2 linked regions of the Oryzias latipes genome follow. The protein of the gene in region 1 purifies or fractionates together with the protein of each later gene. This does not show direct contact. Links are inferred from orthologs where the notes say so. Each region holds a gene or a part of one and is shown in the gene's direction. Other genes may lie near its edges. The genes, in order: ewsr1 and dhx9.

Region 1 (4,382 bases):
AACAAATAATGCTGCAACTCTATGTGGAAGGCCTATGATTGGGAGACAAAAAATTAACAAACAAATTTTTTCGAGAGATTTTAAATAATTCATATTACCCTTCACGTTTAAAAGAAAATATATTTTGAAGAATTACAGCACCACAGAAGCTAAAAGGATATGAACATTATATCTATCATATCCTATCCCTCACAAAACAAAAGATGTGAACTTTAAAATATTAAATGATATATACTCTTCCAATCATTTTTTTACATTCTCGCTTTAACTGGGATGGTGATCTTTGTGTCTTTTGTGGAAAGGATGTAGAAACGGTGGAACATTTTTTCTTTGAATGTTTGCATGTAAAAGAGTTTTGGTCTTCTTTTTTTCATATTTGGCTCAAATCAATAAATATCATCATTAACCCTTTAAAATCTGGACTTTCTGATTTATATACTGGTTGTAATTTCGAAGCATATTATACATACTTGTAAATCCTTAAAGGTGAAACCTCACATTAATGGATTACTAAACCGTCTCAAATTATTCTTTAAATCTTTACATTACATGAATCATAGAATTGACATTGTATAATTCATTGATTTATTTAAACTTTTGCAAAAGCCCCTTATTTTTATTTATTATTATTTTTTAAGTTACATTTGTTTTCATATTTGTTTTTTGTCTACCTTTATCTCAGCATTGATATTGTTGTCATTGACAAACATGCCGTGATTGTTTGTTATATAACAACAACAACAACAAAGTTTTGTCACATAGTAGTGTTTTTTGAGAAGACATGAAATTGTATTTAAAATAAAAGAAACAAAATATGAAGATCCCACTGTGGTAAACTGGCTCACGTGTGGAGTTTTTAAAAAAAATATTTAATAATAATATTTTCCATATAATGATATGAATAAATTCTGATGTTGTAATGGATAAATAAATAAGATTTATAGTGCTTAAACTGTGTGGTCTGACAGATGATCTGCCTAATTTTAAAACTATAGAGTAGACTATTAATTAAAGGCATAGCAAGCCTGTTTGATGCAAAAAAGTACAGACCGCTTAACAGCTGAACTCAACTTTCATTACAATACTTTTTTTTTAATAAACTTTATTATTCAACACAAATAGAACAAGTATGTATGACAGGAACAATAGTCATAACAACAACAATGTCAGGGGATGGTACATGTATTACAAAAAGATTACAGATGCTATGAATTAAAAAGCAATTGCCAATAATGACGTGAGTATTAAACTTTATTTAAAATTCTATTAAAATTATGGGTCGTCTTCAAGTCTCGCGAGAATACACTGGTTTTCAAATGGGAGACAAACGTTTTTTTCTTTTTACCCAGAGTGCAGCGTCCATTCGGTCTTTCACAGGCAAGCTAAAATGGCGTCAGCTCCCGGTAAACGCAAAATTTTTACCAAAGTCACGATATTTACATTTATTATTCTTTGGAATTAATCTGTATTTGTTATTTAATGGTTTTGCATGTGGGTATTTTGTAGTATTTAGCGTTTATGTGGATTGTTTAAAAATGTGCCGTGGCGTGGACGGTGCAAGCGGCTTTGTGGTAGGCCTTGTTGTTTCGTGAGCTTCAACCATTTTTGCCGTTTTCAGTCTGTAACCTTGTTTTTTGATAATTTTTATATTTATCGTACATCCTCATGCTTAAAGAACTCAATCATTCATTGAACATTGTTCATGTAGTGTGTCCTTATCTTTAGCTAACAGGCATAGCATTAGCATTGAATTGTGACTCAATTGGCCCGTAACGTGCTAGCTTAATGGCGCGCAAACGAAACGTCGATGTTTCGTCGCATTTTAATTTAAAGTATTTTTTTTATCTTTTGTTTATAAGCAGATTACAGTTCCTACAGTCAGGCCAGTGCTCAACCAGGGTAAGCATTACTTTGTTTTATACCAATAAAAATTAAAAAGAATTATTAAATTAGAAGCTCTTCAGTCAACAACAGCCAGGAAATAAAGTTAAATTGGTTGATACCCATGTCAAATTACAGAACAGCTTTGGAAGTCTTTTTTGGATATTTCTTTTGCAGGTATGCCTCTTATGGCACCCAGCCATCACAGAGTTATGGACAAACAGCACAGGTGAGATTTGTAAAACAGCAGTTTGATGATGTGTGAAAACTACTGTATCACTATTTGGTCATATGCTGGCTCCTCTGTTCTTAAACCCGTTGAATCTTGCTATAAAAGAGCAATAAAACTGCTGGACAAGAATCACCGTTCCTGCCATCATCAGTCACATTCTTAACAAATATAAAATTCTAGGTTTTGAATCTTTCAAATCGGTTTTTCTAAGGTCCTTCGTGGTTTAGTCCCTCCAATTTTTAATCACAAATGACAGTAACCAGAACATTTTATGACTAGACATTGATTTAGAAAAATATATAAAGTTAAGATTTATACTGTTTATATTTTGTGTTTTCTTTTACCTCTGTTTTATATTCAATTTTCAACGTGTAGGTTCTTCTTAAAATCAGTTTTTGTTTCTTCAGTAACATTTACCTCCCAGGAGACGGCATATTGAAATTATCCTGTGGCCAAAATCCAACATCTCTTTTTTAAATGAATGCATATCAAACGCAAAGACTTTAATTAAGTTTAATTTATTTTATGTGATATTCATATAATTTATATTTATAAATGTAGGTAGTTCCTGGTTGCATGTGCTTGCCTAGCAGCTAAAGTAGGCTCTGTTCTAACAGCAAAGTTATGGTCAACAGAATTATGGATCATACACCCAGCCTGCTGCAGCTGCTGCAGACAGCAGCTACACCCAGGCGACCCCTGCAGCTGCAGGATACCCTCAGCAGCAACAGCAGTATAGCTCCTCCTATGGACAACAAGCATCAGGTAGGTTTTTCTCATCAGTGATCCCATTTGGATTTATTAAGACTGATGGATTGATAACAGTCTAAATGAATACATGATATTTGCTTCTGCTTTTAAAGTTTGCTTCAAACTGGTGCCTGCATTTAGCATGAAACTTATTTCTCCCCAGCTGCAGGCTATCCCGCTGCTCAGTCTACAGCTCATGGCTATTCGCAGTCAACTCAAGGCTATGGAGCCAGCGGGTATGATAGTACTCCAGCTGCAGCTACCGCTCCAGCCGCATCCCAGTCGTATGGCTCCCAGCCAGGCTACACCGCCCAGTCCGCCTACACTGGTTATGGTCAACAGGCAGCTCCAGCTGCACCGCAGAGGTAAATGTGCCTCCTTAGGAAGAAAAAATAATCACACCATGTAAATTCTTCAGTTGACTTGAAGTTATAATACACGACTCATAAGGATGATGTAATGTCTCTGTGATCATGATCAAAACAGACCCCTTATTTATTTTGTCTCTATAGTTACAATGCTAGCAATCAACCAGCTAGTTACAGCCAGAGCAGCTACTCACAACCTGCGTCATATGGACAACAGCAGGCTGGTTACCAGGGTCAACAAGCAGGTTACAACCAGCAGCAGGGTTACCAGCAGCAGACAACTCAACAACAAGCTCCACCTGCCTACCCTCCTCAAACTGCTGGTTCTTATGGTCAGCCTCCAGCCAGTCAGTACAACACACAAGGTGGACCACCTAGTTACAACCAGTCCAGCCATTACAGTACGTTTTATGTTGTGCTTTAACTCCATATATAAAATGGAGCTAAAGAACAATTTGGTTTGGCTCTGTGCTCACCCTACATGGTGTGATCTGATGTTTGTGTTGTTCCTTCATAGGTAGCTACAGGCAGGATGGTCAGGGTGGAAGTTCTGGTTATCCTGGCTCTGAGCCCGGAAGGTACTCAGGCCCAGGGGACAGCAGAGGTCCTGGCAGGGACGGCTTTGACCGTGGTGGCATGATGCATCGTGGTCGCGGAGGCATGGGGCGTGGAATGGGGTAAGTGTGCTTCCTTAGTGTCTTCCATTGTTTTGCCTCTGCAGGTGCTGTAACCATTTGAGGCAGGGCTGAGACAAGTCATTTCAGACATTTGCAATTAACTTTCTTGTAGATACAATGCAGCATTGAGTTATTTGTACGCTGTTACTGAAATTGACTTTTGTTTGAGTACCGGGGTGTTGAATCTCAGTTTCAGAGAGCTGTATCCTGCTTGTTGGATATGTTGCTATCTCGATTCGGTAGCAACATAGAAGGGGGAAAATTACATTCATCACTGACGGCTGGGATTTGACACCCCCTACTAAAACATGATGGTCATTAGTCTTTATTAGCCTTCAATAAGTGCAGGCATATTCTTGATTTAACCTCAGCCCTGCCTCTTTTGGTTTAAGGTAAGTTCCAGTTTTGATCACCATCATCTAGACCTGTGCAAAAATTCTTAGCTTCAAAAGCTTAAGGACTTTAGATATTATT
Region 2 (4,243 bases), on another chromosome or scaffold:
CAGAATATGTAAGATGGGGCTTTAGAACAAGACACACTGGTTTCACCGTCTCTGTGACTACAGCAGGTTTCTGCCAGAGCCTCTACAGGCGTTTATGGCTACTCTGCTCAGCGACTGACCACCTCAAAAAACTGGATATGGATAGAGAAAGCGTGGTTTTCTCTCCTGTGAGGTTCCTGTCTACAGCAGTAAACAAAGAGCAGCAAAAATGTGCAATTCTATTTCATACTATTGGTTTTATCAGGACTATAAACAGGACAGATTTTCTGTAGATTCTGTAGATTAAATCTTCGGTTGACACTGAAAAAATAAAAATGAAATAAAAATCTATGGTTTTAAGCTAATAAACCTTACAATGCAGGTCATGTTACAGCTATGTCATTTTATAAGAGAGATCTGGTTTTTTCTTAAATTAAAATCAGATGAGAAGTTTAGAAATTAGACAAGGATTTGGTCATTTGAAGATTTTTGTTTTATAAAAATAAACTGATTTGTTAAAACAAAATTTATTCGTGAGAAAAACAATGGAACATCCCACGTAACAAAATAAAAGGTTTTTGTTGACTTGATTTAAAATATAATTTACATTTGGAGTCCATATTTCGTGCTCCAAATATGAATCACACAGAAGCAAGATTAATATTTCCATAGTTGTTACTCGAAATTTGAACTTCTGATTGTTTATGGAACTTACATAAATGCTGAATTGAATTCATGAAGGAGAAATTGTGAAAAATTTTCATTTATTCATTTATTCATTCATTCATTCGTTCGTTCATTCATTTGTTCATTCATTCATTCGTTCGTTCATTCATTCATTCGTTCATTCATTTGTTCATTCATTCATTCGTTCTTTCATTCATTCATTCATTCATTCATTCATTCGTTCGTTCATTCATTTGTTCATTCATTCATTCGTTCGTTCATTCATTCATTCATTTATTCATTCATTCATTCGTTAATTCATTCATTCATTCATTCATTCATTCATTCATTCATCTTCTTCCGTTTGCTCCCTTTCGGGGTCACGGGGCTGCCAGAACCTATCTCGGCCACTTGTGGGCGAAGGCAGGGGGCACCCTGGACAGGTCGCCAGTCTCTCGCAGGGTTGGAATAATTTTAATAATTTAAATTTGATTACAGCAACAACAACAAAAACTTACACTGATTTTATGAATGTTTATGACACAGTGGCCACTTATAATCCTTGTGGACAATGGGTTGATGTTAACCACAATGTAATTTGAGTAAAGGAAACCAACTAGAGTGACAAAAGACAGAAATCTAGTTCTCATCCCAGTAGAATAAAAAAAATCATCATGCAGAGGGGCGTTGATAAAAAAGGATCAACTCACTGCCAGGAGCTAACAGTTCATTTCACCTCCAGAACAGAGGGTGGCGCTGTTGCGCGGTAGAAGAGTTCAAAGCTTCCGCTGTTGCCGCTTTGCAGGAATCTGCACTGCAGACTTGACTGAGCGGACGGTAGGTGTTGAATGTAGTCGTTGATGTTAGAATGAAAATGTTTGCTTTTTTAATATTTATTTTGCATACGTACTTCGTGTCTTACTGGCGTTAGTTAGTTTAGCCTCAATGCGTCTGTCAACGTTTACACCGGTTGATGAATGAAGCTAACGTTAGCATACTAGCATTTTCGTTGTAGTTGTCTCAGTTGCAACTGATGATTCAATGTGGGATCAATTGGGGAAAAATATTGCATGGAGGATCACATTATTGCTTGATGATAGGAGCTGCACGTGGCTAGCTGAAGTATAAAAACGGTCAAACATTTCCCCCGTGACTTAGTAACGTTAGTGTTGTTATCGTTTCTCCCTGTGTGTGTGTCGGCGCACATATGTTTTTCTGTTTAGGGTTTCTTTTACGACACGCACGCAGGCAGCGGTTTACTGTAGCTTCCTGAACAACACTGTATGTTTTGATGTGACGCCTGCCAGTGATTCTGCGGTTGTTCAGAGCCACCTCTGTGTTTTACAGGCAACACTAAGGGACCAGGGCACACCTGAAGCTCGCAGGTAAAGCCCACGCGGAGCTGGAAGCTCGCCACTATGGCGGACATCAAGAATTTCCTGTACGCCTGGTGTGGAAAGAAAAAGCTGACTCCCAACTACGAAATCCGGGCGGCGGGCAACAAAAACCGGCAGAAGTTCATGTGTGAGGTCGGTCTGCATTCACAGCCAGCTGGTTTGTAACCAGACTCTCCCGTAACGTCTCTGTTTGCTCCTGAAGGTGCGGGTGGATGGCTTCACCTATGTGGGGATGGGAAACTCCACCAGCAAGAAGGATGCTCAGACCAACGCCGCCAGGGACTTTGTCAACTATCTGGTCCGAGTCGGGGAGATGAAGGCTGAAGAGGTTCCAGCTCTGGGGGTCAGAAAGCTTTTTTTTACGCTTTTTTAAAGGAGATGTAAAAACAAAGCAAACCAGAGGAACATCTTTCCAATCAATAGAGCATCCAGCTATGTTCAGGCCAGAACAGAAAACCATTTAGAAAGTCAAGATCCATAAAGACTGGGAGACTGCAAGGATTAGTCAAAAGTTTACCAGTGGGCAGCGAACACTTAACCGGAACTGACGGCCTTTTGTTGTTCTACCCAGGCCGTGGCTCCAGAACCCAACCAGCCCGAAGGACCTCCGGGAAGCTTCGGAACCCTCCCAGCCAGCGGGCCGCTGCCCCCCCACCTGGTGGTGAAGGTGGAGAAAGGTTTGAGCCGAACACACCTAACCTGCTGCTCCCTGACTTCAGTCCTCTTCATCCTGTGGTTTCTGTTTTCAGAGGCTGATGCCTTCATCAATGCACCTCCAGGACAGACTGAACAAGGGTTCCCTCCTAGAGGTGGCAATGGGGGAGGAGGAGGAGGGGCTGAGTGGGACAGAGGAGCCAACCTGAAGGAGTACTACGCCCGGAGGGATGAGCAGGAGGCTCAAGCGGTACTGGAGCCAGCTATGTGCCATGAAGCTGCTTTTCAAGAAGATCCCGGTCCTTTTGAGCTGTGTTGTCACATGTTGCAGTCACATGACTGTGACAACATTAGGCGGCTTCATAACAGGTGGGACTGCTCTGCCTTAGTACCGGTCCCACTAATGCGGCTCTCCTGTTGTAGACGCTGGAATCCGAGGAGGTAGACCTGAATGCAAACTTGCACGGAAACTGGACCCTGGAGAACGCCAAGGCCCGTCTCAACCGGTTCTTCCAGCAGGAGAAGATCACCTCCGAGTACACGTACAGCCAAGTGGGACCCGATCACAACAGGTCTGGATCAGCGCTCCCCTACAAGCCGTCTGACCAGATCCAGCCTGACGAGCCCAGGTCTCTCGTCAGTCTGGATCTGGTCTTTTCTGCTGTTCAGATCTGTCAGGTGGGGGTGGGAGAGTGGGGTATTGACAAATGAACTCTAATTAAAAAGCTGCAGCTTCTCGGGTTGGTAAATGTTTCCTCTGAAAGGGGCCACACTCCTGGGCCCGCCGCTCACTGGTAGCACCTGTGTGTTTTTCTGCCGGACTGCTGCAAACCCAGAGAGCTCCTGCGTGTGCCGGCTACACCGGAGAGCCCTCACAGCCACATGCTCAACTCAAAGCCTGCAGAGCGACACTAGAACTCACGACCACGCTGAGGAAATACATGGGGATGGCGTTTAGGTTCTCTAAAGCCCCCCCATGGGTGCAGCTCCGTGGTCTCTGGTCGTGATTTGTGGTGTTGCTCTTCATTGTAGGCTTTAAAACCTGAAAGTCTGGCAGAAAAACGCCCAGGTTTCTTTCTGAGGACACATCAGGTGAGTCTGCTCCTGAGGGATGCTTGGCTTTAGGCTTTTACTTTGAAAGGCACGGGATGTAACTCTGCCATGTTATTTGTCTGCAGGAGCTTCATAGCAGAGATGCAGCTGTTCGTGAGGAAGCTCGGCAGAAGTAAGTTTTGACATGTCTGTACATGAGACCACAGAGACGGTTCTGTGCTGAGATTCTTTACGCTTATTTTAGCAGAGCCAGTAAATAGAAATTGGTGCTTTCCTTAACAAATAGAAAACCTTTTCTCTTGTGTTTTAAGTATCAGAAAGCTTGTATTTTTTAGCATTTTGAAATTTTTCTTAAAACTAAATGACAAAAGACTAATACCGGCAGAAACCAATTCTTTTAATAAATATGAAACAAACGAATCACCCCTCAAATAGGAATAGTTTACTTTCTCCCGCCCCATTGTGCCTTCAACCCTGTTGAGGTGGATGCAACA

Evidence for each region.
Region 2: the proteins of ewsr1 (region 1) and dhx9 purify together in Homo sapiens (affinity purification with mass spectrometry; 3 studies listed by BioGRID, with this or other methods). This does not show direct contact. The link is inferred for Oryzias latipes from reciprocal best matches to the Homo sapiens genes EWSR1 and DHX9.

The regions. Positions count from the first base shown.
Region 1 is NC_019867.2:12,693,498-12,697,879, reverse strand, and holds the start of ewsr1 (RNA-binding protein EWS), read left to right. Parts: upstream 1-1,337; 5' UTR 1,338-1,387; coding exon 1,388-1,403; intron 1,404-1,859; coding exon 1,860-1,899; intron 1,900-2,058; coding exon 2,059-2,110; intron 2,111-2,748; coding exon 2,749-2,878; intron 2,879-3,026; coding exon 3,027-3,228; intron 3,229-3,375; coding exon 3,376-3,632; intron 3,633-3,748; coding exon 3,749-3,908; intron 3,909-4,382. UniProt on the Homo sapiens protein: Binds to ssRNA containing the consensus sequence 5'-AGGUAA-3'. Might normally function as a transcriptional repressor. EWS-fusion-proteins (EFPS) may play a role in the tumorigenic process.
Region 2 is NC_019875.2:12,671,773-12,676,015, reverse strand, and holds the start of dhx9 (ATP-dependent RNA helicase A), read left to right. Parts: upstream 1-1,384; 5' UTR 1,385-1,482; intron 1,483-1,992; 5' UTR 1,993-2,063; coding exon 2,064-2,174; intron 2,175-2,244; coding exon 2,245-2,385; intron 2,386-2,613; coding exon 2,614-2,719; intron 2,720-2,791; coding exon 2,792-2,946; intron 2,947-3,119; coding exon 3,120-3,268; intron 3,269-3,728; exon of another isoform or gene 3,729-3,788; intron 3,789-3,874; coding exon 3,875-3,921; intron 3,922-4,243. UniProt on the Homo sapiens protein: Multifunctional ATP-dependent nucleic acid helicase that unwinds DNA and RNA in a 3' to 5' direction and that plays important roles in many processes, such as DNA replication, transcriptional activation, post-transcriptional RNA regulation, mRNA translation and RNA-mediated gene silencing.